Macaca fascicularis: one gene and its partners. The protein of the gene in region 1 interacts with the protein of each later gene in a pairwise test. Links are inferred from orthologs where the notes say so. Each region holds a gene or a part of one and is shown in the gene's direction. Other genes may lie near its edges.

The links.
Region 2: the proteins of MTUS2 (region 1) and SETD5 interact in binary tests that used the Homo sapiens proteins (3 or more experiments, as listed by UniProt). The link is inferred for Macaca fascicularis from reciprocal best matches to the Homo sapiens genes MTUS2 and SETD5.
Region 3: the proteins of MTUS2 (region 1) and BMP7 interact in a two-hybrid assay, tested with the Homo sapiens proteins (3 studies listed by BioGRID and IntAct). The two-hybrid records come from large-scale screens. The link is inferred for Macaca fascicularis from reciprocal best matches to the Homo sapiens genes MTUS2 and BMP7.
Region 4: the proteins of MTUS2 (region 1) and EHHADH interact in binary tests that used the Homo sapiens proteins (3 or more experiments, as listed by UniProt). The link is inferred for Macaca fascicularis from reciprocal best matches to the Homo sapiens genes MTUS2 and EHHADH.
Region 5: the proteins of MTUS2 (region 1) and RBM41 interact in binary tests that used the Homo sapiens proteins (3 or more experiments, as listed by UniProt). The link is inferred for Macaca fascicularis from reciprocal best matches to the Homo sapiens genes MTUS2 and RBM41.
Region 6: the proteins of MTUS2 (region 1) and FAM107A interact in binary tests that used the Homo sapiens proteins (3 or more experiments, as listed by UniProt). The link is inferred for Macaca fascicularis from reciprocal best matches to the Homo sapiens genes MTUS2 and FAM107A.
Region 7: the proteins of MTUS2 (region 1) and TCEA2 interact in binary tests that used the Homo sapiens proteins (3 or more experiments, as listed by UniProt). The link is inferred for Macaca fascicularis from reciprocal best matches to the Homo sapiens genes MTUS2 and TCEA2.

Annotation. Positions count from the first base shown.
Region 1 is NC_088391.1:8,910,803-8,914,825, forward strand, and holds the start of MTUS2 (microtubule-associated tumor suppressor candidate 2), read left to right. Parts: upstream 1-1,223; 5' UTR 1,224-1,224; coding exon of another isoform or gene 1,225-1,320; 5' UTR 1,321-1,426; coding exon 1,427-3,673; intron 3,674-4,023. Other genes in the region: uncharacterized protein, read left to right, coding at 1,225-1,320. UniProt on the Homo sapiens protein: Binds microtubules. Together with MAPRE1 may target the microtubule depolymerase KIF2C to the plus-end of microtubules. May regulate the dynamics of microtubules at their growing distal tip.
Region 2 is NC_088376.1:147,737,756-147,741,255, forward strand, and holds part of SETD5 (histone-lysine N-methyltransferase SETD5), read left to right. Parts: intron 1-1,781; coding exon 1,782-2,083; intron 2,084-3,087; coding exon 3,088-3,221; intron 3,222-3,500.
Region 3 is NC_088384.1:113,219,643-113,222,894, reverse strand, and holds the end of BMP7 (bone morphogenetic protein 7), read left to right. Parts: intron 1-412; coding exon 413-562; 3' UTR 563-2,752; downstream 2,753-3,252. UniProt on the Homo sapiens protein: Growth factor of the TGF-beta superfamily that plays important role in various biological processes, including embryogenesis, hematopoiesis, neurogenesis and skeletal morphogenesis.
Region 4 is NC_088376.1:97,193,553-97,197,527, reverse strand, and holds the start of EHHADH (peroxisomal bifunctional enzyme), read left to right. Parts: upstream 1-1,175; 5' UTR 1,176-1,202; coding exon 1,203-1,276; intron 1,277-3,975. UniProt on the Homo sapiens protein: Peroxisomal trifunctional enzyme possessing 2-enoyl-CoA hydratase, 3-hydroxyacyl-CoA dehydrogenase, and delta 3, delta 2-enoyl-CoA isomerase activities. Catalyzes two of the four reactions of the long chain fatty acids peroxisomal beta-oxidation pathway.
Region 5 is NC_088395.1:113,661,362-113,664,378, reverse strand, and holds part of RBM41 (RNA-binding protein 41), read left to right. Parts: intron 1-2,347; coding exon 2,348-2,495; intron 2,496-3,017. UniProt on the Homo sapiens protein: May bind RNA.
Region 6 is NC_088376.1:121,733,594-121,737,733, reverse strand, and holds the start of FAM107A (actin-associated protein FAM107A), read left to right. Parts: upstream 1-1,340; 5' UTR 1,341-1,955; coding exon 1,956-1,979; intron 1,980-4,140. UniProt on the Homo sapiens protein: Stress-inducible actin-binding protein that plays a role in synaptic and cognitive functions by modulating actin filamentous (F-actin) dynamics. Mediates polymerization of globular actin to F-actin. Also binds to, stabilizes and bundles F-actin.
Region 7 is NC_088384.1:120,189,258-120,193,347, forward strand, and holds the start of TCEA2 (transcription elongation factor A protein 2), read left to right. Parts: upstream 1-1,290; 5' UTR 1,291-1,532; coding exon 1,533-1,593; intron 1,594-4,090. Other genes in the region: SOX18 (transcription factor SOX-18), read right to left, coding at 1-502, 703-1,060. UniProt on the Homo sapiens protein: Necessary for efficient RNA polymerase II transcription elongation past template-encoded arresting sites.

The DNA of each region.
Region 1 (4,023 bases):
CAGAGCAGATGGTGAGGTGGGGATGAGGCCAGAAAGGTGTTCAGGGCCTGATCATGCAGGCCGCGAAGGCCGGAATGAAGCGTTTCCCCCAAGTTTTTATTTTGGAAAATTTCAAACTTATAGAAAAGCTGCAGATGTAGTAGAATTCTTAATTAGATATTCAAATGGTTGACTTTTGCCAGTTTCTTTCTCTCTTTTGCACACATATGTCTCCTTCTCATATGCACACACACATACATACACATGTTTTTCTTGGTTGAATCATTTGAGAATAAGTTAGAGAAATCATGACATACTACCCCTGAATTCTAAAGCATGGATATTTCAAGAACAAAGATGATCTCTGGCATAATTATAGCACGATTATACACCCAAGGAAATTAATTATGACATACCTGTACCTTATATACAGTCCATATTTACATCTCTCATTGTCCTAATAATATCCTTTGCTAACATATTTTGAAAATCCAGCCTCTGCTGACTTTTTTTTTGGGACCAGTTAGGCCAGTTATTTTGTAATACATACCTCAATTTAAATTCGCCAGGTTATTTTCTCATGGTTAAATTCTGGTTGAACATTACTGCATAGGTGATGTGTGGCCCTGAGAACTAACTAATATCAGGAGTCCGTCATGTCAGTTTCGATACCAGTGATGTTAAATTTGATCACGTGGTTAATGTGGTGTCTACCAGATCTCTCCATTGTAAAGATCAAATTTTCTTTTTGTAAGAAATAAAGTAGCTGGGGGGAAGATACTTTAAGCATCTATAAATATCTTGTTCCCCAACAATCTTTTACCCAATGTTTGTACCTTTGGCATCCCTTGTGCAAGATAATTATTAATGCAGAGATTGCAAAATAGTGATTTTTCAAATTCTGTAAATTTTTTTCTACATTCGTTGATGCTCTTCTGTAAAGAAGAGCCTTTACTTCTCCTCCACCCTTTTAAATCAGTATCAGTATAGACTTGTGGATGTTTAAAATTTGGATTTAAGATTTCACATGCATTTATAATCGATTTCTAACATTAAACATTCTGATGTTTAATTTCTGTCCGTATTTGGTCAGCAGGAGCCCTGATCAGAAAGGTTTTTGAGAAAACTATCGAGTGAATGAAATAATAGTATAGAAATGACGAATAAATCTGTGTTTACCACTTTTTTCCTCCTGAGAAGTTCTATTTGTCCATCTAATGTGAATGTATTTTTATTTCTCTCTAGGTTTCACGGACTAATTGGCTCTCATTCAGCCGGAACCTAGTTCCTGCTGTATATCAAGAGAATGCTTGCTTTTCAAGCTCTTCTGAGAATGATTAAAGCAGTGTCACAAGCTGACATTGTCAGGGGAGGACAAGCAGCCTGAGAATTTCCTATTAATCTGATTGCAGCTTGAAGGCAGCCCATTTCCATTAAGTAGGACTGCATGGCAAGCAGCCCCACCAAAGGGTTGACAATGAGCGTCCCAGTGGCTCCTAAGAAATCATGTTACACTCAGCTGCGGGACAACAGAAATGCAGCAAGAAATAATAATGAGAGCATCCTAAGTCTGGGAGATACAAATGCCAATCAAATCATGTTGGAGGTCAGCTCCTCTCATGATGAGTCCAAGACATGTGACCTGGAAGATGAAATTGGAAATACAAATTCAAGTGAGCCAGAAAACCGTACCCATTTCCATAAGGAATTTCACCAACTTCAGAGCTTTGAGAAGGGATCTCAGCCTGGCTCCACCAGCCTGAAAGATTTTAGACTTTCTTCAACCATTCAGAGGGAACTCAATGAGGAGCACACAATGGAGAGAGGCGCAGATAGCCCGCAGACCCCGCGGAGTATCCAGGGACCGAGTCTGTCGAGTTGGAGAAATGTGATGGGTGAGGCCAGTCTAGACGTTTTGGCTAAAAGGGATGCTGAAATTCCCCGGCACGTTCCCAAGGATAAATTGGCAAAGACCCTCAACAATGAGGAACTGAGGAGGCATTCTTTGGAAAGAGCAAGCAGCTCTGTAGCTGTAGTCGGGAGCCTGACTCCGCAGCATCCACAGCCTGCACCCCTTGACTCCCAGGAAGCACGGGGTCAGGTGCCTGGGGGTGGGGAGGGGCCACAGAAGACGTTGCCAGACTGCGCTCTCCCGGCAGCGTTCCCTCCAACTGACAGTACCTCACAGGGAAAGAGTGTGCGTCATCCTAAACCATCTACCTCAGAGACCAAGCAGAGCACCCCCTCAGAGACCCAGACAGTGGGAGCACATGTACTGCAGGCGTGCAGTGAGCACATACCACGTTCCGCCCATCCAGAGCCTGCTCTGAATCTGACTTTGACATCGAGGGAAATCCCGAGTAAGCCAGAAGCACAATTAGGTCAGGGAAAGGCAGAGGCCAAGCTGGAGCTGAAATATGTTTCACCCAGGAGGGTTGAACAGGAGGGAAAGGCAGCCCAGGAAGGGTATCTGGGATGCCACAGGGAAGAGAATCTTTCAGCGTTGGAGGGAAAGGATCTGTGTGGGGAGGCGCACCCAGAAACCACCGATGCACTTGGCTCTCTGCCAAACAGTGACCTCCACCACCTTGGGGTGGGAAGAGGCAACAGTGAAGAGAAGAGAGGAGTCAACCCAGGGAAGCCGGATTCTCTCCACGCCACCCCCAAACAGGCCTCTGCTTCCTTAGGAGGGGCTGATAGTCAGCCCACTGGCAACATTTCACCATGTGCAGGTGGGAAGTTGGGTGAAAGGACATCCGGCAGCTTTTCACCAGGTGATGGTCATGTGGCTTTTATTCCTACTAATCTGACTGACAGCAAACCCTTGGATGTCATTGAGGAGGAAAGGCAGTTGGGCAGTGAGCAACCCACAGTGGACAAGGACAGTGTTACAGTTCTGGTGTTCAATCCTTCCATTGGAGAGAGCCAGACAGAGGTGCCTGAGCCCCTGGAACCTCAAAGTGGCAGCTCAGAAGCACGGGAAAGCAGAGAGATCACCACATCTGTTGCTGAAAGCAGGAACCTTCTAGAGAATGCTGATAAGATTGAACGCACCTCAGCAAGAGTAGATTCAGTTCTCAATATTCCAGCACCCCTCCTCCCAGAGACAACTGTGAACATGACCCACCAGCCTACAACACCCAGTAGCCGTTTTCAGGATGTTAGCGTGTTCGGTATGGATGCAGTGTCCCCCTTGGCGGTACCACCCCCTGCTGATAGTGCACGCTTGTCGAACACATCCCCCAAAGTGCCTGACAAGAACGCCTGCCCCAGTGGGATCCCCAAGCCTGTCTTCACACATTCCAAGGACACACCTTCCTCGCAGGAGGGAACGGAGAACCATCAGGTTGAAAAAACAGAGGAGAGGACAGAAACCAAGCCCGTCATTATGCCCAAGCCCAAGCATGTGAGGCCCAAGATCATCACCTACATCAGGAGGAGTCCCCAGGCCCTGGGCCAGGTGGACGCCTCGCTGCTTCCAGTGGGGCTTCCATATGCCCCGCCCACATGTACCATGCCTCTTCCCCATGAAGAGAAGGCTGTGAGTGGTGACCTGAAGCCGTCTGCCAACCTCTATGAGAAATTCAAGCCAGACCTGCAGAAGCCAAGGGTCTTCAGTTCCGGATTGATGGTGTCTGGAATCAAGCCCCCAGGACATCCTTTCGGTCAAATGAGTGAAAAGTTTTTGCAGGAGGTAAGAGAATGTCATCATGATATGGTCTGTAAGTTGACTGTCCCAAAATCTGTGACATATTTTCAATGAGTTATGAAAGTAAAATGTCCTCTTTAAGTGAATTGCAGATTTCCATGGATACACTGGTGAAGAAATGGAGTCTTTGACTAGAGGAGATTGTCTAGAGAAATGACCATTTTTAATTAGAAGAGTCTGATTCTCTTAATAAGATGCACCCAGTATCTCAGGAGACCCATTGAAATTTCACTTGCTATAATTCGTATGAAATTAGATGAGTATGCATTAAATAGGCTTCCATGTTTAAATAAGTGAATATAATATAAGCCAGGTCAAAGGAAGAAAGAATGCCA
Region 2 (3,500 bases), on another chromosome or scaffold:
TCCCAGTGACTTGCATTTATTGAGCAGGGCCAGGGATGCTGAATGTCCTATGTAGGGGACAGTACCACGTAATGGCCAAACATCTGTAGTATCCTCATTGAAATGAAACTTAGTGGTTTTTTATATTTTCGTGATGATAATATTCATTACCAGAATTTATTAACTTCTTTCCAAAATTATGTATAGAAAATGCATATGCAAAACTGTCTATATTTGTTACGTTTGCACAGAAAAATGAGAACCCTAAGGGGATAGAAGGAGGAGGAAACATTGGCACATAATTTGGATTAGGATAGTAATTGATTTCAAAGATTGTTGCATGAACAGCATTGACTACCAGAAACAAAGATGAAAACAATCTTTAGATTTCTGGTTTTATAATATTTACTATGTGCAAAAGTCATAGAAATCATAATATGTTATTTCAGAAACACTTCTGAAATTTATTGGGCACATTTAAGCATAAATTTAAGCATATTCAAATTCTGTGCTGGATGTTTAAGATAAAAAGCCCTCCTAGAACTTAGAGTTTAGTCAGGGAGCAATCAAGACACGGTAGAAAGTTCTACGGCCTGTGTAAGTAGTGTGCCAGAACAACAAAGAGGAGGTGTACTAGGCAGGGCAGGGATTATGGTCAGCAGGGTGGGGTGGGGGGTCTGCTGTCAGAAAAGAATGAGCAAGTGTTAGGGAGATGAAGGGGAAGTTGGGGAGAAGTTACCAAGTTGTTTTCTAGAGCTAGCTTGCTAAAAGTATAAACTGGAAATAATAATTTCCTCTCTTTTTACATTAATTACGTCTATGTCTAACAGAAACAATAATAAATTCCTATTTATTTCTTGAAAAATTGAGCATATTGGCCGGGCGCGGTGGCTCAAGCCTGTAATTCCAGCACTTTGGGAGGCCGAGACGGACGGATCACAAGGTCAGGAGATCGAGACCATCCTGGCTAACACGGTGAAACCCCGTCTCTACTAAAAAATACAAAAAACTAGCCGGGCGAGGTGGCGGGCGTCTGTAGTCCCAGCTACTCGGGAGGCTGAGGCAGGAGAATGGCGTGCACCCGGGAGGCGGAGCTTGCAATGAGCTGAGATCCGGCCACTGCACTCCAGTCTGGGCGACAAAGCGAGACTCTGTCTCAACAAAAAAACAAAAAAAAAAAAGAAAAATTGAGCATATTTAAGTACTCTGGAGCATTGGTTTTTTCTTTTTTTTTTTTTTTTTTTTTTTTCCTTCTCTCTCTCTCTTTCTCTCCCTCCCTGTCCTCCATCTCCTTCTTCTCTTCTCCCTGCTTCTGTCTCTCTCTCATGCTCTCAAACAGCTAATTCTAGGGGCTTCCAAGGAGTGCAGAAGAGCCATCAGAGTCACCTGGGAGGCTTTTTAAACTATACAAGCTTCCAATTCTCCCTTCTCTGGGTACTCCCATTGTTGCAAATAACTATGATAGCACACTTCTGTTACTGTGTAACGGTAACCTCACAAGTTTTTCTGAAGACAGAAAAAAGTATGGTGGTCTAATTGGCAAACATTCTTTAGAAACTTACCTCCTAGTTTATTATCTTCCTCTTACCAATTTCCAGCTGTCTTAATTATGTAGCTGTGCTCAGATCTCTTTCACACCCCCCAAAAAAAGTTGTCAGGGTTGGTATCTGCTTTGTTGGCATGGCTTGGCTAGTGGTTTACTACGGTACCATCTTTCCTTCTTTCCCTGTTGCTAGTGATCCACTAATGATATCCAGCTAGAGTACCGTTTTTTGTTTGTTTGTTTGTTTTTTCCTTTCTAGGTATCCCTGCTGGAGTACCGAAAACGGAAACAAGAAGCTAAGGAAAATTCTGCTGGTGGGGGAGGTGACTCTGCCCAGAGCAAAAGCAAGTCTGCAGGAGCTGGGCAAGGCAGCAGTAACTCCGTTTCTGACACTGGTGCCCATGGTGTGCAGGGATCCTCAGCCCGAACCCCATCTTCCCCTCACAAAAAATTCTCCCCATCTCATTCCTCTATGTCCCATTTGGAGGCGGTAAGCCCATCAGATTCCAGAGGCACTTCTTCATCTCACTGCAGACCTCAAGAGAATATCAGCAGTAGGTGGTAAGTTTATATCTGATGTTTTATAGTTAAATTGGGAATGGGGGGAGTATATATCTAGGATCATTCCCAGTTTTACCTAAAATCTATGGGAACACTTGATGGGAACATCTGAGACAGCCAGCCAACAGTACCATCTGTCCTGTTCAGCTGATTTAATAGTGTCAGCTGCAACCCCCCAGCTTTGCAGAATTAAGAGTTACCAACATGCCTGTGGAGCAGCGCTTTGGATGACATGTAGTTATGGATGCAGATGAGCTCTTTTATTTGGTGGGCACTAACACTGCCTCTTCTATTTCTCATTTCACATGAAAGGGGAGTCAAGAATCCAGCCAAGTTCCACATGAATTAACAACAAATGTCTCTCTTCCACACAGTTAGCATATACAGAGCAAAAAGACATTCTGAAAGGACTTGTCTGGTTTAGGGGAGACCGCAAATTTAAAAATGAATAATACTGGTGGCAAATACTGAGGATCAAATGTGTGAAATAGAGAATGAAGCACAGGAGTTCAGGGATCTTGAACTGAAAAAATAAGTCTGAGAAAGAAGAGTCCTGGCTCATATGTTTAATGTTCATTAATCTATGAAACCTTTATTAAACCACTACTATGTATCAGGCATATGATTTCCCAAAGGAGAAATTTTAACATTTTTAAATAGGGGTTGGGGGAAGTTGACATCTTTAATCCACTTTTTCCTTGATTTCTTTTTCTTTAAAAGTGATTGTTGTTGTTGTTGTTGTTAAAAGTGGTTGTTGTGGTGGTGGTGGTTGTTGTTAAAAGTGGTGGTGGTGGTGGTTAAAAGTGGTTGTTGATGATGATGATGATGATGTTTCTCTTTTGTGCCTGACATAGTTGGAGGCAGAGGAAATACCTTGTTTTAAATTGGTTCTGAAGAAAGTGTTAAGAGGATGTTTTAAGAAAATACACTGTGCACCTTGGTTAGGGCTTCATTTGTTTTGGTTAAGTCCTGTGGCTTGAACTTGCACCCTGTTGCCTTTACAGGATGGTTCCCACATCAGTAGAACGACTCCGAGAAGGAGGAAGTATCCCCAAGGTCCTCCGAAGCAGTGTGAGGGTGGCCCAAAAGGGAGAGCCCTCTCCCACGTGGGAGAGTAACATCACAGAGAAAGACTCAGGTGAGCCCATGGCCTTCTACTGCCACCACATTCAGGGACACATGAGCCAAGTCCTGTACAGTTCATGCCGAGTTCTGAGTTGAGGTGAGTCAGTTTCTGAAGCAGTTGGGCTCTGCCGTATGCTAGGTTCTAGCCCACTTGTGCTCATTTTGGCTACAACATTTGTAAGATCTAGCGTTGCTTGCTCTCTGTCTGCTCTTTTTTCCCCAAGGAATACCTTTCTGTAACTCTCATCTCTCCAAAGTCCTGGAAATCTACTTCGATGAAGGATGAAGAGAA
Region 3 (3,252 bases), on another chromosome or scaffold:
TTGAGTTTGTGTGTCCCTGGCCCACATCCTCTGTAAGGTACAGAGAAGCCCATGAGCAAGATGGAGCACTTCTGGTGGCTCCAAGTCAGGGACACTATTCAGCATTCTGCAGTGCACAGGGCAGTTCCCCAACAGAGAATTACCTGGTCCTGAATGTCGGATCTGGTCCCTTCCTTCTCAACTGCATAGTGTGAAAACCTCTATGCTTTGGTTCGCTTGTCTGCAAAACAGGGGTAATCCCAGAACTGAGTTGTCCAGGTAAAGTGCTTAGAACAGGGAGTGCTTGGCTTGGGGAGTGTCACCTGCAGTCATTTATTATGCCCAGACAGGATGTTTCTTTATAGAAACGTGGAGGCCAGTTAGAAGGACTCACCGCTTCTCACCACTGCCCATGTTTTGGTGTGTGTTTCAGGTCCACTTCATCAACCCGGAAACGGTGCCCAAGCCCTGCTGTGCGCCCACACAGCTCAATGCCATCTCCGTCCTCTACTTCGATGACAGCTCCAACGTCATCCTGAAGAAATACAGAAACATGGTGGTTCGGGCCTGTGGCTGCCACTAGCCCCTCCGGGAATTCAGACCCTTTGGGGCCAAGTTTTTCTGGATCCTCCATTGCTCGCCTTGGCCAGGAACCAGCAGATCAACTGCCTTTTGTGAGACCTTTCCTTCCCTATCCCCAACTTTAAAGGTGCAAGAGTATTAGGAAACGTGAGCAGCATATGGCTTTTGATCAATTTTTCATCCAATGAACAAGATCCTACAAGCTGTACAGGCAAAACCTAGCAGGGAAAAAAAAAACACGCATAAAGAAAAATGGCCGGGCTAGGTCATTGGCTGGGAAGTCTCAGCCATGCACGGACTTGTTTCCAGAGGTAATTATGAGGGCCCGCCAGCCAGGCCACCCAGCCGTGGGAGGAAGGGGGCGTGGCAAGGGGTGGGCACATTGGTGTCTGTGCGAAAGGAAAATTGACCCGGAAGTTCCTGTAATAAATGTCACAATAAAACGAATGAATGAAAATGGTTAGGATGTTACAAATATATTTTCCTAAACAATTTATCCCCATTTCTCCGTTTATCCTGATGCATAAACAGAAGCTGTGTCATGTGGAGGGCGGGGAGGTCCCTCTCCATTCCCTACAGGTTTCATTCTGAGGCTTGCAGAGTTCCAGTGTTTACCAAGGTTTGCCCAAATCCAAGATCTAGTGGGAGGGGAAAGAGCAAATGTCTGCTCGGAGGAGGGTTGTGTGTTGACCTTTGGAGGTAAAATATGTTCTGTTGTTCAGCTGGATTTGCAGTGGCAGATATGAAACTAGGTGTGTGAAACACCCGCAGACATTTGGAATTGGCTTTTCAGCTCGCCCCAGTGGTAGTAAATCCATGTGAAATTGCAGAGGGTACAAGGACAGCAAGTAGGATGGAACTTGCAACTCGACCCTGTTGTTAAAAAGCACCAATGGGCCAGGCGCGGTGGCTCACGCCTGTAATCCCAGCACTTTGGGAGGCTGAGATGGGCGGATCATTTGAGGTCAGGAGTTTGAGACCAGCCTGGCCAACATGGTGAAAGCCCATCTCTACTAAAAATACAAAAATTAGCTGGGCATGGTGGCACGCGCCTGTAATCCCAGCTACTCTGGAGGCTGAGGCAGGAGAATCGCTTGAACCCAGGAGGCGGAGGTTGCAGTGAGCCGAGATCACCCCACTGCACTCCAGCTTGGGTGACAAAGCGAGACTCCATCTCAAAAGAAAAAAAAAAGGAAGCACCAATGAAGCCTAGTTCTCCACGGGAGTGGGGTGAGCAGGGGTACTGCACATCCTCCCAGTGGACCCTCTGGTCTTTGTCTGCAGCGGCATTCCAAGGCTGGGCCCTGGCAAGGGTACCCGTGGCTGTCTCTTCATTTGCAGACCCTGATCAGAAGTCTCTGCAAACAAATTTGCTCCTTGAAGTAAGGGGGAGATGGCATAATAGGAGGTCTGATGGGTGCAGGATGTGCTGGACTCACATTGCAAACAGAAGCCTTGTTGAGGGTAACATCCTAACCAAGTGTCCCGATTTGGAGGTGGCATTTCTGACATGGCTCTTGGTGTAAGCCCGCCTTGCCTTGGCTGGTGAGTCCCATAAATAGTATGCAGTCAGCCTACGGCCACAAACACAAGGCCTGGGGGAGGGCTACACTGTCTACAAACGTTTTCCGCATCTGTAAAGGAAGCAAGGTGATCCGAGACTGTGGCCATGTGGAACCCGGTCTTGTGGGGGACTGTTTCTCCATCTTGACTCAGACGGTTCCTGGAAACACCGGGGCTCTGTTTTTATTTTCCTTGATGTTTTTCTTCTTTAGTAGCTTGGGCTGCAGCCTCCACTCTCTAGTCACTGGGGAGGAGTATTTTTTGTTATGTTTGGTTTCATTTGCCTGCAGAGCTGGGGCTTTTTGTGTGATCTCTCTTGGTGCAGGTTTTCTCACCACTTACTGACCCAACCAGCCTCTGGTTAGCATCGTTTGTACATTTAAACCTGTAAATAGTTGTTACAAAGCAAAGAGATTATTTATTTCCATCCAAAGCTCTTTTGAACCCCCCACCCCTTAATCCCTCGTTCAGGATGGCGAGCTTGCTTTCCTTCAACCTGTTTGTTTTCTTATTTAAGACTATTTATTAATGGTTGGACCAATGTACTCATGGCTGTTGCGTCGAACAGTCTTTAGTGAAAATTCTGTATAAATAGACAAAATAAAAAGGGTTTGACTTTGCAATAAAAGGAGACGTTTGGTTCTGGTTCTTTGGCCTGTGTCTGTCTGTGTGTGTTGTGTTTTTCTCTCAGTTTCTGAACACTGAAGTTCTCTCACACTGCTGAGAGCTCCCTGCCTTCGCCTCCACCGTGAACACACTGTTTAGCATTCAGGCCTTGGGGGGAAGTGGGCGCTCGTCAATATTTGGTGCAGCTGTGTGGGGCTCTGGGCAGGAGAGATGGAACCAAACAACACATGTGAATTTGGTAGAGGCTCCACTACAAAGGTCCTTGATTGAATTACAGTGCAGCTGTCAGCAGCTGTTTCAAAGAGGCAGGGGGTAAATTAGCTGTGTTTACTGCTAACATAGTTGAAAGATTTAGTCATCCCAATAAAATAGAGGCAGCACAGAGAGAAAAAGGGCAGGAGGTGCACACCCAAAACTTTAAAGCAGTGCCGGCCCCGGAGCTGACACTGTCCAGTGCAAATGATTGGGGCAGTGGGGAGCAGCTGCTGGAGCGCGGCTGTG
Region 4 (3,975 bases), on another chromosome or scaffold:
CTGGATGAGTTCTTCCTGCCTGCTGCACAAACAAAATCAATTCAGGAAGTCTACAGTATTGCAATAAGGAAAGAATTTAATTGATGTGAGGCTGGCCACGCCACATGGGAGATGGAGTTATTACTCAAATCAATCTCATCGAAGGCTAGTAGGTTAGGGGTTTTTCAAAGGTAGTTTGGTGGGCAGGGGCTAGAGTATGGAAAGTGCTGACTGGGTTGGAAATGAAATCATAGGGGGTTGAAGTTATCCTCTTGTGCTGAGTTGCTTATGGGTGGGGCCACAGGAGAGGTGGACTGGTCCAGGTGGAGCCATCAGTGTCAGGCATGCAAAAATCCTGAAAAAATGCCTCAAAAGGCCAAACTTAGGTTCTACAATAGCGATGTTATCTGCAGGAGTAAATGGGGGTTGTCTGTTTGGTGGCCTCCGGAGTAATTGCTGGCAATGGTCTCTGTCTACACCTTAGCAGACAGAATTCACACTCCTCTATCCTCCTAGCCTGGTGGTCTCTCAGTTAGCTTTACAAAGGCAGTCGAGTTTTGGGGAATAGCTATTATCATTTAAACTATAAACTAAATGTCTCCCGAAGTTAACTTGGCCTGAGCTCAGGAATAATTAAGGGCAGCTAAAGGCAAGATGGAGTTGGTTAAATCAGATCTCTTTCACTGCCATAATTTTCTCAGTGTTAGAATTTTTGCAAAGGCTGTTTCATTAGTACCCTACTCATTTAGGTGAAATGAACAATGTGTATTTTATGTGTTCCAGATGTGTATCAATATCACATAACTGTCAGGGCCCCAGGTATCTGTCCCTGGTTCAGAAAGATCATGAAGATGAATACCGCGATGCGGACAGCTTGCCCGACTCAGCGAACTCAGAACTTGTCCTCAGTAGCCAGCCCCTATGGGCCAAGGGGTTGCAAACTTCCACTTGCCGGCAATTACACCTGTTTCCATCATTCTCCTTGCTGTACCTTGTGGTGGGAGCAGCTTGGGAGTCAATCAAGAGAAAGCGACAAGCGTCTGGAGAGCGCGGGGTGGGGTCTCTGTAGAGGAGGGCTGGGTGGGAAGAGGCGCGGCGGGAGGCGGCGCCCCGGCTCGCATTGGCCCAGTCGGCGTCCCTCCTCTGGGGGCGGCCGGGCGCGCCCGGAAAAGTGGCTTTGCCTGGCGGCGAGAGGCAGAGGTGCCCTCGGTAATAGAAGAAACATGGCCGAGTATACGCGGCTGCACAACGCCTTGGCGCTGATCCGCCTCCGAAACCCGCCGGTCAACGCGATCAGGTAACGTGCTCGGTCGCCTCCAGCCCGGGGACCGTGCGGGCCTTACCCGCCCTCCGGCTCCGGAGGCCTTGACTCTCCCCCGCTGGTTTAAACCGAGAAGGACACTCCGAGTTGAGCAACTGGTACATGCCAGGAGCCCTTTTTTTTCTTTTTCTTTCTTTTCTTTTCTTTCTTTCTTTTTTTTTTTTTAACCTAGATTAGCTTGGTTAATCTTCGTAGAGAACTCTCGTCCCCGTTTTGCTGATAAAGAAACTGAGGCTGAGACAGATCAGCACTCAGGGAGTTGGCCTTGACCTGTTCCTTCATGCAGAGTCCTCCTGCTTACTTGCAACTTTGGCTTTGCAGGTCGACTTTCTAATCCAAAGGTCTTAACTTAGTTCGATGTTGAACTTTGATCCAACCTCACTCCCCAACTTTGAGTCCAGGCTGCCCTTACAATGTTTGGCTAAAGGCTTTAGGAATAGGGCAGTAAAATGGTTTAACATTTAAAAATAATAGTAAAAGTCCCACTAATGCCAGCGCAGTGATTAAAGCAGAATTGTGCCCTGGTCCAGAAACGCAAAATTATTTCTCCTGATTTGTTTGAACCTCAGGACTTTGGTGCTTCCGAGGAAGACTCACATCAGACTAAGCCTATGTAATAGCATTTTCTGAAAAACTGCACCTTGTCTTCTTTTTCTCACTGGGAAGTATTTGCCTTGTGTGGTGCACTTAAAACATTGAAAAGTGAGATCAATGTTGCTTTTTTGAAAAGTAATGAAGTTATTCGGTTTGGTCATTCTACATCTCTTTAAAAAAGTAGTTATACATCAGCCTTGAAAAAGAATTACCTATCCACAGGGAATAAGATTAGTGGAAATCATAATTTACCAAGAATATATAAAGCATAGAGAGAAAGGTCTTTAGTCAAAATTCTTATCACATACTGCTGAAGCAAAGAGACTGAAATGAGAAGACCTGCTAATTTTAATACAATTTAAAAATCCTACTGTCATCAGATTTGATTTATCATTAGTATTAATATTAATTCAATGTGAATTATTACATTTAATAATGCCAAAAAAATGCAGGACTAAAATCACATAAGGATGACATGTCTACTAACTTGCCATTCCCAGAATAAAAAGCAAAATATCTGTTATGTTGGTTTTGACAAAGAAAAATGTAAGTAATTTGATTACTTGTCCATTTTGGACTGGTCTATATACTGATTAGAATTGCTAGATACTAGGACCTTAGGGGGAAAAGTTCCATACTCTAATACCCATGACTAGGAATGTTTTCTGACAACTGTTCGTTTTTTTTTTTTTTTTTTTTAGTTTATTTGTTTGTTTTGGACGGAGTCTTGCTCTGTCACCAGGCTGGAGTGCAGTGGTGTGATCTCGGCTCACTGCAACCTCTGCCTCCCAGGTTCAAGTGATTCCCCTGCCTCAGCGTACTGAGTAGCTGGGCCTACAGGTGTGCACCACCAGACCCAGCTAATTTTTTGTATTTTAGTAGAGACAGGGTTTCACCATGTTGGCCAGGATGGTCTCAATCTCCTGACCTCGTGATCCACCCACCTCGGCCTCCCAAAGTGCTGGGATTACAGGCGTGAGCCACGTGCCCAGCCTCTGACAACTGTTTTAAATGTTTCTGGAATTTAACCTGCTCTCCCTGCCCACCCATGCAACTGCCTGTGCCACCCCCAGCCCCTTTGCAGGAGAAATGTTAGGGCCTACCTCATAAAGTTGTGAAGTTTAAATCAGCTGGAAATTATAAAGTGGCATTTAATAGATGTTAGTTATCATTCCTATTAGTCAGAAGACCTATTCAAGCCCCTGACAGCAGGCCCTGCTACTCAGGACCCACTTCAGTTTCATCAAGAAGATATTCTCCACTTGGGAATAAGTACTTCTCTGCCCTTTTTCGTCTGTCTTCTGAACTTTTTTTAGGTAGAAATGTACATCCTAAGAGTTCCTCAAGTTTAACAGATTCCTCAATTTTTTTATTACACTTTTCTTTCTTTCCTCCCTTTCTTCCTTTTCCCCTTCCTATTTCTAATTTTATATGGGAAGTTGTATCTTCCTAGCTGATTGAGAGATTCTTACTTGAGTGTAACACACACATGTACACACACACATATATGTAAATTTTTTCCCCAAAACAAATAGTTTAAATCCTTCATTGCTAGTTTAGCAGCCATGTTTGCTTCCATTCAGATAAACACCAGCCCCCTTTATAAGCGTAGGACAGGCCTGATTAATAGGCCTGTCTCCCAGAACAATGGCTTTCACACTATTGGTTTACTGTAATCCACAGACTAAGAAAGCTCACGTTTTTACATAGCAATTCAAGATACACTTACATACAAACACGTAACTGAAAACAGTTTTCTAAAACAAAACCTATCCTTACTTGGTGTATTGTTTGATACAGTCTATTTTCTCTTCTTGTCCTTTGAAAAAATCCTGGTCACAAGCCACAAACTTGATTGGATGACGTTTGGTTAAAAAAAAAAAAAACTGTCTGAAAAAAAAAGAAAGACCTCCTATAGTCAAAGAAGCTGAAGAGTTTTGGTCAGTAGTCATGAAATGCTGTCTCTACTCCAGATTCTATTTCCTTATACCTGACAGTATTAACAGGAAAAATAATTTCGTAACCTCTGCGGCCTTTACATTGCTGTGACTCTCTCTGTCAGCCTGAATCTAGTAAAGTGT
Region 5 (3,017 bases), on another chromosome or scaffold:
GTTGAGTGTCTTCATCATGAAACAGTGTTGAATTTTGTCAAATGCTTTGTCTGCATCTATTGAGATCGTGTAATTTTTATATTTTGTTCTGTTAATGTGTTGAATTACATTGATCAATTTTTGTGTGTTGAATCATCCTTGCATCCCAGGGATAAATCCCCCTTGGTCATTGTGTATGATCTTTTTAATGTGCTGTTGAATTTGGTTTGGTAATATTTTGTTGAGGATTTTTACATCTGTTTATTAAGGATATTGGTCTGTATTTTTCTTATAATGTTTTTGTCTAGGTTGGTCTCAGGGTAATCCTGGCCTTATAGAATAGCTAGCATATAGTTTATAGTTGGATTTTGTTTATCCATTCAGGTACTCTGTCTTTTGGGGAGTTTATTAATATTTAATGTAATTATTGCTAGCAAAGGACTTACTATTGCCATTTGTTAATTGTTTTCTGTCTCTCTTGTACCTCTTTTGTCTCTCCCTCTCAGCTGTCTTCCTTTATGGTTCATTGGGGTTTTTTTTGTAGTGATATACTTTTATATCTTTCCCATTTTCCTCTGTATGTCTTTTATAGGTATAGGTCATGGTAAAACAATTTGTTTTAAGCTGATAACATCTTAAGTTCAATCACATATAAGAGCTCATTTTTGTTCTCTTGAATTGTTTTTTTGTTTGTTTTGTTGTTGTTGTTGTTGTTGTTTTTTGAGACAGGGTCTCACTCTGTTGCCCAGGCTGGAGTGTGGTGGTGTGGTGTGATCGTAGTTCACTACAGCCTCAAACTCCTGAGCTCCAGTAATCCTCCTGCCTCAGCCTCCCAAATAGCTGGGACTTGTAAAATTGGCCAGGTGTGGTGGTGTATGCTGTTTGCTCACAAGTAGCACATGCCACTCTGTCTCTTTTGTAAAGACAGTGTCTCACTGTGTTGCCCAGACTGATTTCAAACTCCTGGACTCAAGCGATTCTCTCACCTCAGCCTCCCAAAGCACTGGGATTACAGGGGTAAGCCACCGCACCCACCCTCCCATGCCTAATAGGTAGAATAATTTCTCTTATTTTTCTGAGGATATTAGTTATGGTTTGTTGAAGTTTTTTCCTATTTGCTTTCTTTTCTTTGTTTGTTGTGTTCTCTCTTTCACATTAGAGGATTTCCTAAGATGCCTGATAATCGATGCCCAACTTTATAAGTAGGAACTAAAAAGCAGATTGGAATCTCTGAGCACACAAGTGGTACTTGTTGACTTTGAGCTTCACTTTAAAGTGGTCTGGCTGGACCATTTGTTAGATAAATTCCTTATCCCAAGTCCGTGTTTTTATATCTTTCCTCCTAGGACTTACCAGTTTTCCCAGAGAAGACTGTTCCAAAATCTTTCTTATGAGGGTACTACCAGCATTCTAGGAGCCAAATGGCAGAAGAGGTCTGGGAGGACCTCAACATTTAGTATGCATTCGTTCTCTTAGTCTCCTTGCTTTCAGAAACAGGGTTCACATCTTCAGCCATGTATGGCATTCCCCATCTTCTGACAATGAGCCTCAAGTATTCTACCAGAATCGGCAAGTTATCTTTTACCCCATAGCATGTTGTGAGGGAGGGTATTTAAAAATCATATTGGCTTTTAGACAGCTTTCAACTGACCTGCCTTATTTTAACCCCATCCCTTCACATTTATTTCTGAAAGTAAGTGAAATTATCAGTTCCTGAACTATTTAAGGATTCTTAAGTGGTGACAGGTGTGTTCTTGGCTTTCTCCACTACCAGTTTAAAATTCAACTTTCTTCAGTGTGCTGAGTTGGTTCCTGCTCATCCAATTATTTTTCATCTTCCAGATTATTATTGCTGTTGTCTCCTTTTCTTGTTCCTCCTGACCTTGTTAGTTTGTGTTTTTTGTTTTTTTTTTAAGTGCCCATAGTTATAGAGAGTTTTCTGGATGGAATGAAATTAAATGAATGTGTTCAATCCACCATTTTTATGTGAAACTAATTGTAATCATAATGAAAGAATTGCCTTACGGCTGGGCATGGTGTCTCACGCCTGTAATCCCAGCACTTTGGGAGGCCAAGGCGTGTGGATCACCTGAGGTTGGGAGTTCGAGACTAGCCTGGACAACATGGTAAAACCCCATCTCAACTAAAAATACAAAAATTAGCCAGGTATGACTAATCACAGCTACTGGGGAGGTTGAGGCATGAGAATTGCTTGAACCCAAGAGACCAAGATTGCAGTGAGCCGAGATTGCGCCACTGCACTCCAACCTAGGTGACAGAGTGAGACTTTGTCTCAAAAAGAAAAAAAAAAAAAGAATTGCCTTACCTCCTTTTTATGATATTTTGGTTGATTCTCAATTTGTTTTAGGTGTTATACCTGAAGAACCTTAGCCCTCGGGTGACTGAAAGAGATCTTGTGTCATTGTTCGCTCGGTTCCAGGAGAAAAAAGGACCTCCAATTCAATTCCGAATGATGACTGGACGAATGAGGGGCCAGGCTTTTGTCACCTTTCCCAGTAAGTAGTTTCATCCAGATGATTACTCAGTTGCCCCTCAGTTCGCTAGAGACTACCTATAACCTCTCTAATTTAGATACAGTCCTTTGATTTCTCCACAGCATGTGAGAACAAGAGAAGGAACGAAAAATATGTTTTCAGTATTTCTTTCTCTTTCCTCTCCTCCATTGACAGTGCATGGCCACACTACCCCAGTGTCCTCAGGTTTTCCCAGTCTTGGTACTTCCTTCTTACCCTACCAAAATCTGTACTCCCTTTACTGACAACAGTATTTCTGGTCCAAGTTATAATTAGATTACTCATTAATTAGTGTATTAGTATTCTGATCAGAACACATGTACTTGCCTTATGCACTGTTCCTTTAGGACTAAGTGAGCACAAGCTAATATACTAATTTATTACTTATTCATAATTAGTAGATGATGATACAGTCTTCTAATTATTATTTGCATATTAATTAATGCATAGCTTCTAATCCAACGGGAAGAATAATATAAGAATTTCAGTTTCTGTGACAGACCA
Region 6 (4,140 bases), on another chromosome or scaffold:
GCCACATGTTTGCTTGGCTGGAGGGGTCACGGATATTGGAGGAAATACAGTAATAACAACAACAACAGTATTAAGCAGTGCCATGCAGTGAGCACTTTCGATGAGCCAGGACTGCCTTAAGCACTCGACCTACTTAGACTATTTCATTTAATCCTCCATCATGGATTCTTCTACTAATATTGCTCTAGACTCGGGGTAAACTGAGGAGCAGGACAGACCAGGCCCTGGCCTTTGTGGAACTGCCCTTCCAGGCAGAGGAGACAGACAATAAACACAGAAGTCCTATCATTTCAGTTGCTGATGAGTGCTACGACAAAGTAATAAACAGAGAGCCTGGGACCTGCTTTGCAGAAGGCATCGGAGAAAGCTGCTCTGAGGAGCCTGAAGGACAAAAAGGATGGAATCATGCAACGCTCAACATATGGGGAATGGAGGGGAAGTGGGGGAGGGAACATCCCACTCAGAAAGAATAGCAAGTGCAAAGGCCCTGAGACGGGGGGAGAGGTGCTGTGACCCAGAAACTGCCAGGGAGAGGGAGGAGAGGGAAACGGGGTCCTAGCAAGACCGTTGATCAGAACTTGTGGACCATGGGGGATCTCGCTCTGTTGGCAAGGCTGGATCTAGAATGCCTAATTCTTGACTCTCCACCAGCTGCCATTCTGTGAGTCATCTGTGTATGTGCTGCAGGCACCTACTGTGTGCCAGGCACCGTGCTAGAGGAAAGGAAAGGGTGGCAAGTTCTCCCCAACCCACCCGCCTCTTGGGAATGGGTGTTGTGCTTAGTGAACTGGTTATTCGGGACTTTCCAGTGGGCAGTGGACTTATCATTTGTGTTCTTAGCAGCGTGATAGCAGCAGTGCCTAACTTCTCTGAGGAACTGTTGTTTGCCAGATGCTCTGTGCATCCCCACAGCCCCATGCAGTGGGGGCAACTGTTACCCCACCTTTGGTGAAGTGACAGATAAGACGGAGCGACACGCTCTGATTTATGCTTTCACAAAACGATGGCTTGAGCTGTACACACACACCTTACCCCATATAGCTCTGTGCAGTGTGCTTCACACACACACACACACACACACACACACGCACGACATCGTGCCTCCAAGGCCACACAACTCTCGGGGACAGAGCTACAGTTCAAGCCCAAGGTCTCTTCAGCCTTAACCTCGGCCACAAGCTGGCATCACGGAGAAGGAAGAGGCTGGCAAATGAGGAGGAGGGTGACTGCCGGGGGCACTTTGAGAACTTGGCCCCAGGCCTGAAATCCGGCCTCCAGATATTTTCTTGGCCTGAGCCCAGACCAGCCACCCTCCAGCCCTCCCAGGCAGCCTGCTGCCCAGTTGAATGAAGGAGTCCGCTCTCAGAGTTTCTGCCGTGGGAGAGCCCCGGACCTCAAGCGTCTTCAAAGGTCTATTATTAATGGGGCCATCCAGCTGAAGCTGACATCCCCAGCAGCCCTCCCAGAGCTCTGCACCTCAGCCAGCCCATGGCCTCCACTCTCTGGCCCTGTCTGCTGAGCGGTGCCCAGCAAGACGAGAAGGCCAAGTCCTGCCCGCTGGGCCAGCCAGAGGTCACCTGCCGCGCCTGAGCTACCGGTGTGCGGTGAGAGGACTGCTCTGCGTCTTCCCTCGGCTCCCAGCTGCCTCAGTTTCCCTTCCTGAGAAAGGCGGGGTTCTGGGAGGTGAGGAGCTGCAGGGACCCACGAAGGGCATGGAAGCCGCCTGGGGACACTGGCCCGTCTGTCAGGATCAATCGCCCTAAGCCTGTCTGAGGCGCTCCAGGCTTAGGAGCAGCTGTGAAAGCCGCCTTTGTGCCTGGGAGAATGAGCCGCAAGAGGACAGGGGGCCCTGGCCCCGGGAGCCCCTTGGGTCCTGGCTCCTGAGATCAACGCCATCAGGGAAGACCCCAGCCTGGCCCCTGCAGCCCACCCAGGCCTGGTGCCCACTTCGTGCCATGGGAGCAGCCCAGGGGAAGAAGGTAGGAACCCCCAAGTGTCCTGTTGGGGCCCTGGACATGGGAAGGGAGACTAGACCTAGCAAGTGGGAGCCCCAACCCACCTACCCTGAAGCTTCATTTGGCACTGCCCACCAGCCCTCCTCCTGGAACTCACAGCCAAGACTTGCATCTAGAAGGCAGGCTGGGGCTCAGGGAAAAACCAGTGCCCTATCTCTCCATCTCTAGGACAGACTTGGGGACAGCCAAATCTCTCTGGCTCCCTGGTCTTAACCACACACATCTCTACTTCCCTGAGTAAAAGCTCCCTGGGTACCCCTTCCCCATACCTCAGGAGACTGTCTGACACAGGTGGATACAGGGGAAAGATCTTAAAATTGTTATTATTATTATTATTATAAAGTTGACTAACCAGCTGTTACCAGTTGTAGGGCAATGGGCAAGTTATTTAAGCTTTCTGTACCTTATTTCCTCACCTGTAAAATAGGGCCACTAATAATCACTACCTTGGAAAATCATTGTGAAAATTAAGTGAGTGAAAGTGTTTAGAACACTGCCTGGCACTGTGTAGAGGCTTTGCTCCGTTATTATTAGAATTCTGTTCATGTTATTATCTCTCGCCTTCTAAGCCTGAGCTCTCAGCTAGAGGTTTGTAGACAGCACTGCCTTAGCAGTGTTTCTGGAAATGTGCTCTGTGGACCCCTGCATCAGCGTTGTGGTGTGGGGAATAGGAGGGAGCTTGTGAAACAGTCACTTTCTCAGGGCCAGTCAGACCTCCTGGGTCAGCCTCTTAGGGGCAAAGAGGGGAGGGGCCTGCACTTACTAGCTCTCAGGATTGTCCTACATGCTCACTGCTCTCCGCCCACAGCGACTCAGCACTGCCGTCCCAGTGGCATAGCCAGGCTGCCGGGTCCCAGCTCCACCACCCACCTACTGAGGCGATGACCTGAACCCCTCTGGACCTCAGCTTCTTGTTTGTAAAAGGGGGCTGGTACCTGCTTCGTGGGAGGTTCAACAAGATGATGCCTTTGAAGTGCTTTGTGTGCTACCCCACCCCCAGAGGCTCCCCAATAAACAGGGGACTCTGATCCTCAGGCAACCAGTGATGACCTGTTCCATCAAGGTTGAGAAACTCAAGGAAGAAGTAATTTCTTAGCCAGGGTCATGCAGCTAGTGGGGGAAAGAGCAGGGTGCTGTTGTTGTTGCTGTTGTTAATTTGGAAAGAGGAGCTTTATTTCTCATAAAGAGTTGCAGCCTGCAGGGTGGCCATTCTGACAGGCTGGGAAGCATGGCCTCTGGCCAGAATCCAGAAACTGACACTTTGAGGAAGAGGCAAAGGGAATAGAAATTTATGCTGAGCAGCATGGCCAAATATACATATTCAATAAGCTGTGGGAGGAGTCATGCATATTTATGAAAGGAGAAACATCTGCATGCACAGTTGAGCTCCATGCCTCTTATGGGCCCGAGATACAAAAAAATGTTGGCCTTAGTGTGATCAGAGGGTGGAGTTTTCAGCCCTCTGATGTCAAAGGTGAAGCAGGGGGCACAAAAACCCTCACTGTGCATCCTCTGCAGACTGGTTAGAACCGCTCCATGATCCGCGGTCTCTTATCAAGAAAAAATGCTGGTTGGTTTTTGTGTTAAAACCACAAAAGGGAGGCGCAGTTGGTTGAAATCAGTATGGAGTCTTTTGAAAAGGCCGGTTTCTGTTTAGCTCTTAGGGAAGAAAGTCTAATGGAGGTTATCAAGGGATGGGGCACTACGGGGCGCGTGCAACCTCCCATCCCGTCATGGCCAGAAACTTGGTTTTCAAGATTTCTCTGGGGTCTCCTTGGCCAAGAGGGGGTCCGTTCAGTCACTTGCCGGGTAGGGGGGTGTTTAAAGTTTTATTTTTATTTCTTATTTTTATTGGGTAGGATTTTGACCCCGTTCTGCTTGATTCCAAACAACCCAGCCCATCCCACCCTTCCTGGTCCATAGCTCTGTCCACGGCATCTTCCTCAGCCCCACCCCAACCTCCCACAGAAGGCTGTTGGTCAGGCACCTGCTGCCCTGTGCCAGGGCCTGTGTGGAGCTGGAGCCAAGGGTGAGGAGACACAGCCCCTGCCCTTGAGGCCATCCCTGTCAGTTGTGGAGACTGATAGGCAGGTAAAAAATAGTTGGGAGTGTGTGTGACAGTTGA
Region 7 (4,090 bases), on another chromosome or scaffold:
AGGGTGCCGTAGTACAGGCCAGCGAGCGGCGCCACCGGGGGCGCGGTCCTGAGCGCCTCCGCCAGGGGAGCCCCGTAGCAACCGCCGGGGTCCCGGGACAACTCGGTGGGCGCGTAGGGCGCGCGGAAGGCTCGCAGCGCGCAGTCCTCGGGCGCCGCGGGCGGTGGGAAGAAGGCAGCCTCGCCGGGCTCCAGGCCGTCCAGAGGCGAGCGCTCGGGCGTCGGCAGCCCCAGGCCGTCGAACTCGGCGCCCAGCGGGGGCAGCTCGCGGAAGGCGCGAGCCGAGCCAGGCGCCGCGGGGAAAGGCTCGGGCGGTGGCTGCGGGGGCGCTAATCCGGGGAGCAGGAGGCCGGGCTCCAGCCGCCGGGCCTTGCGCGCCTGCTTCTTGCGGCGCGGCCGGTACTTGTAGTTGGGGTGGTCGCGCAGGTGCTGCACGCGCAGCCGTTCGGCTTCCTCCACGAAGGGCCGCTTCTCCGCTGCGTTCAGCTCCTTCCACGCTTTGCCTGCGGGCCGCGGGCGCCAGTGAGTGGAACGCCGTCGGGCGGGTGGGCGCCGAGCCCTCCGTGCGCCTGGGACGCCCCGCGAGGGTTCGGCGCAGCCCCCCGTACACCGCGACCCCGGACCCCCGCGCCCCGCGCCCCCCGCCCCCTCCGGCCCGAGCCCCCCCGCCCGCTCCCCCTTCCGGCGCCCTCCCGCCGCTCACCCAGCATCTTGCTGAGCACCGCGTTGTGCAGGTCCGGGTTCTGCTGAGCCAGCCGCTTGCGCTCGTCCTTCGCCCACACCATGAAGGCGTTCATGGGCCGCCGGATGCGCGACTCGTCTGCCGCCTGGCGTTCCCCGCGGCCGGCCGGGCTGAGGCCATAGCGCCCCGGCTCGGGGCTGCGCGGCGGACTGCGCTGCGGGCTGGGCGGCGAGGCGGGCGCGGCGGGCGCGGCGAGGGCGGCGGGGGCGGCGGCGAGGCCGCGCGGGTCAGCGGCGGCCCCGTGTCCCGGGGCCCATGCACAGTCGCGGCGGGCGGGCGGGTCGTCCTGTGCGCCGTAGCCGGGCGGCGATCTCTGCATTCCAGCTGGGCGCGGCCTGGGCGGAACGGAGCGCGGGAGCGCGGCGGGCGGGCGGCGGGCACTGCGGAGCCGGGCGCGAGGGCGGGCCAGGCCGGGAGGGCGGACGGCGGTGGGGACGGCGGTGGCCTCGGGCCGGACGGGCGCCCAGATATAGCGGCTCGGGGCCAATCGGCGGCTGGGCGGGCGGGCCGGGGCGGGTCGGGGCCGCCCCCTCCCCGGGGGCTCCCTTTCTTCTCTGGCCGGGCGGGATTTCGCGGAGGCCTCCCCCGCGCACAGCCCCCCCACCTCCCCCGCCACCTCTCAGAAGGAGAGACCCCCGGGTGGGCAGGAAAGGGCTGCCGATGTGGGCCGGTGCTGCCAGACTTTCAGAGGCGAGCTGCCACCCACCCACGGAGTCGGACCCCCGGGCAGTAACGGGGAGGGCGGCAGTGTCCCGCTCGTTGCCGTTCCCCGCACCCCCCTAGGAGGCTCCATGGGGAGGAGAGGGCCCTTTTGCACACCAAGTTCTTGCGAGGCTGCCTTCCCAACAGCCGGTAAGTCCTTCCTGGAGCGCAGCGCCCTCAGAAAAGCCCCCGGCTTTGGAGAGGCGCTCTGACTACCCAAGGGCGCCCATGCACCACGTTCCTGTCAGCACCAGGGCCTTTGAATGCTTTTATGGGACAAGGTGGTCTTCGTGTTTCTGTCCTCACGCCCAAACCAACGCTGCCACAAGGCAAAGCTGACACAGGGAGGGAGAGAGCAGAGGCCCTGGACAGAGCCCACAAAGAGAAGGGGGAGCAGGGATGCAGAGGCTGTGGCCTCCTCCCTGCCCACCTCAGGGCCCTTGGGGAGGGGCCTGAGACCCACAGGGGCTGTCCGGCTCCCCTGCCCAGCCCAGGCCACCGCTGCAGCAAGAGGCAGGGCCGACCTGGGTCCTTCCCGCTGGCCCCTCCCTGGACCCTCTGACCTGGGGAGGGCCGGGTTCCAGAGGAGCGTCCAGCTTCCTGAATTTTCACTGTCCCCTTCCCACCCCATCAGGAGGGGATCTGGCCTCCAGAGCTGAGGGTCTCCCTCTGGAGGTCCTCCCCTCCCACTGCCATACGTGGTTCTACTGGAGGAGTGTCAGGTGTCCCCAGCAGCCCTCCAGGCAGGGTCAGAATCCCCCCACCTCACAGCACATCTCCTCATAGCCTGGAGGCTCCGCAACTGCCCCCCACCCACCCCTGTGCTGGGAGCCCCGTGGGTAGAGGCCACAGATCTTGGTGGCCTTGAGCCTGTGTGGCCAGCAGTTCTTGGGTCTCTGTCCCTGCCAGCCTCGCTAGGCCACATCCAGCCTGTGATGTGAATGGGGGGGGCCCTATGTGGGCCTTGCAGTGCTCCTCAGAGGCTGTTCCTGAACTGTCCCCAGGGGCGCTCCTGCCCTGAGGCCAGCACCCCCCACAGGGGCACCCCCACCGAGGGCTGTTGCGGTCGGTGTCCAGCCCTCCCCAAAGCCCCACATCACAGTCTGTCTCGACGCCCATCGTCCCAGCATGTGGGGCTGGATCTCCCAGTCTGGCCTCCAGGTCTCCCCTCACTCCAGTTTGCCCCACGGGCCTAGCACCTCGTTCACAGACACTGAACCAGTGCTGGCTAATGGGGGGCCCTTGGGGCACCAGGAGGTGTGGCCTCTGGCTTTTCTGGGGAGGCAGGCAGAGTTGTGGCCACAGGGATGGATGGGCTTACAGGCCTCTGCTGGGTGGTGCTAGTTCCCCTTCAATCTCAGTGTGGGTGGCTGGACGCTTGGCCAAGTCTGTGTGGGTGGGCCTCCTGGGCAGCTGGCAGGAAGGTGCAGGGGGGTGGGGAGCTGTGTGAAGACCCCCAAAGGGCTGCCACTTGGCAGAAGCTTCGTCTACTCACAACCTTAGGGATGGAGTCTGGGGTCACCAGGGCCTGGCTCAGCCTGGGCAGTGGCTGGTCACTGGGGCCTGGGAAAGAGGTCCTCAGGGTCCTCTGCAGCAGCCCTCACATGTTGGGAGAGATTTGCAGTTCCCTGGGGGCTCTGCTTGGTCCTCTGCCGCCCCTGAGAGCCCAGAGTCACTGGAGCTGCTCTAAACATAGTGGCAGGCAGTGTCCGGCATGACCTCATCGCCTCCTCATCCCCTACAACACCCACCAGCAGCCGCCTTGCCTGGCGCCAGCCAGTGACCCACCCTCTTGGCTGGGCTGTGGGACTCAGGTGTCCGGCCGTCATGTCCTGTGAGCCAGGGCTGGGTGGGGAGCCTCCTGGGGTGCTCCTTTCCCTCCACATGGCAGGGAGGAGGCGGCAGCCCCGGCCCAGTGTCCAGATGGGACAAAGTGAGGGTAGAGACCACAGTCAGGGTGGCGTGATCTGGAGTCGCAGGGCTGGGGGGACTCTCCAGGGCTGTACAGGGGATGGTGTGGGTGTGGCCAGCTGTGCTGAGGGAGGGGAATCCGATGAGTGTCTGTGCGTCTGTGTGTGGCCTGTGTCTGTCTGTCTGCCTGGGTGTGGGGTGAGGGGGACTCTGGTGCTGGAGGCTGCCCAGGGCCTTGGGAGCCAGGCAAGCTGGACTCTCCCAGGAAGAGATGAAGACCCATAATAGGTCCAGGACCAGGGGTCCTGCTCCGTGAAGGTTGGAGGGTCCCCAAGGCTTCTCTGGCCACTGAGCTTGGGCCCCAGCTTTCTCCAAAGGAGGGCAGGCAGTTCATGAGTCTAGGGGCATTCGTCTGCCTCTGGAACCCCACCTCAGTCTCTCCTGGACCAGGTGGGCTACAGCCCACCCTTGGGAGGGAGCCTATCTGTAGCCCCCAAACCCCAGTCAGAAAGGCAGAATTTGGGGGCAAGCTTTCTCTACAAGGGTGGGACTGGCCTGGGCACTGAGTGGACACTCTCCTGCCTACCACCTGCCCCTCTCCCTCAGCATGGACAGGAACTCGGCCTCCAAGTGAGGCCTGCAAAGGACGCTGGGTAGTCCCCCTCGGTGGCTCTGGGTGGGGGCTTGGCTTGGCACGGCTCCGGGCCGGGATGGCGGGACCTCCCAGGCACTGCCT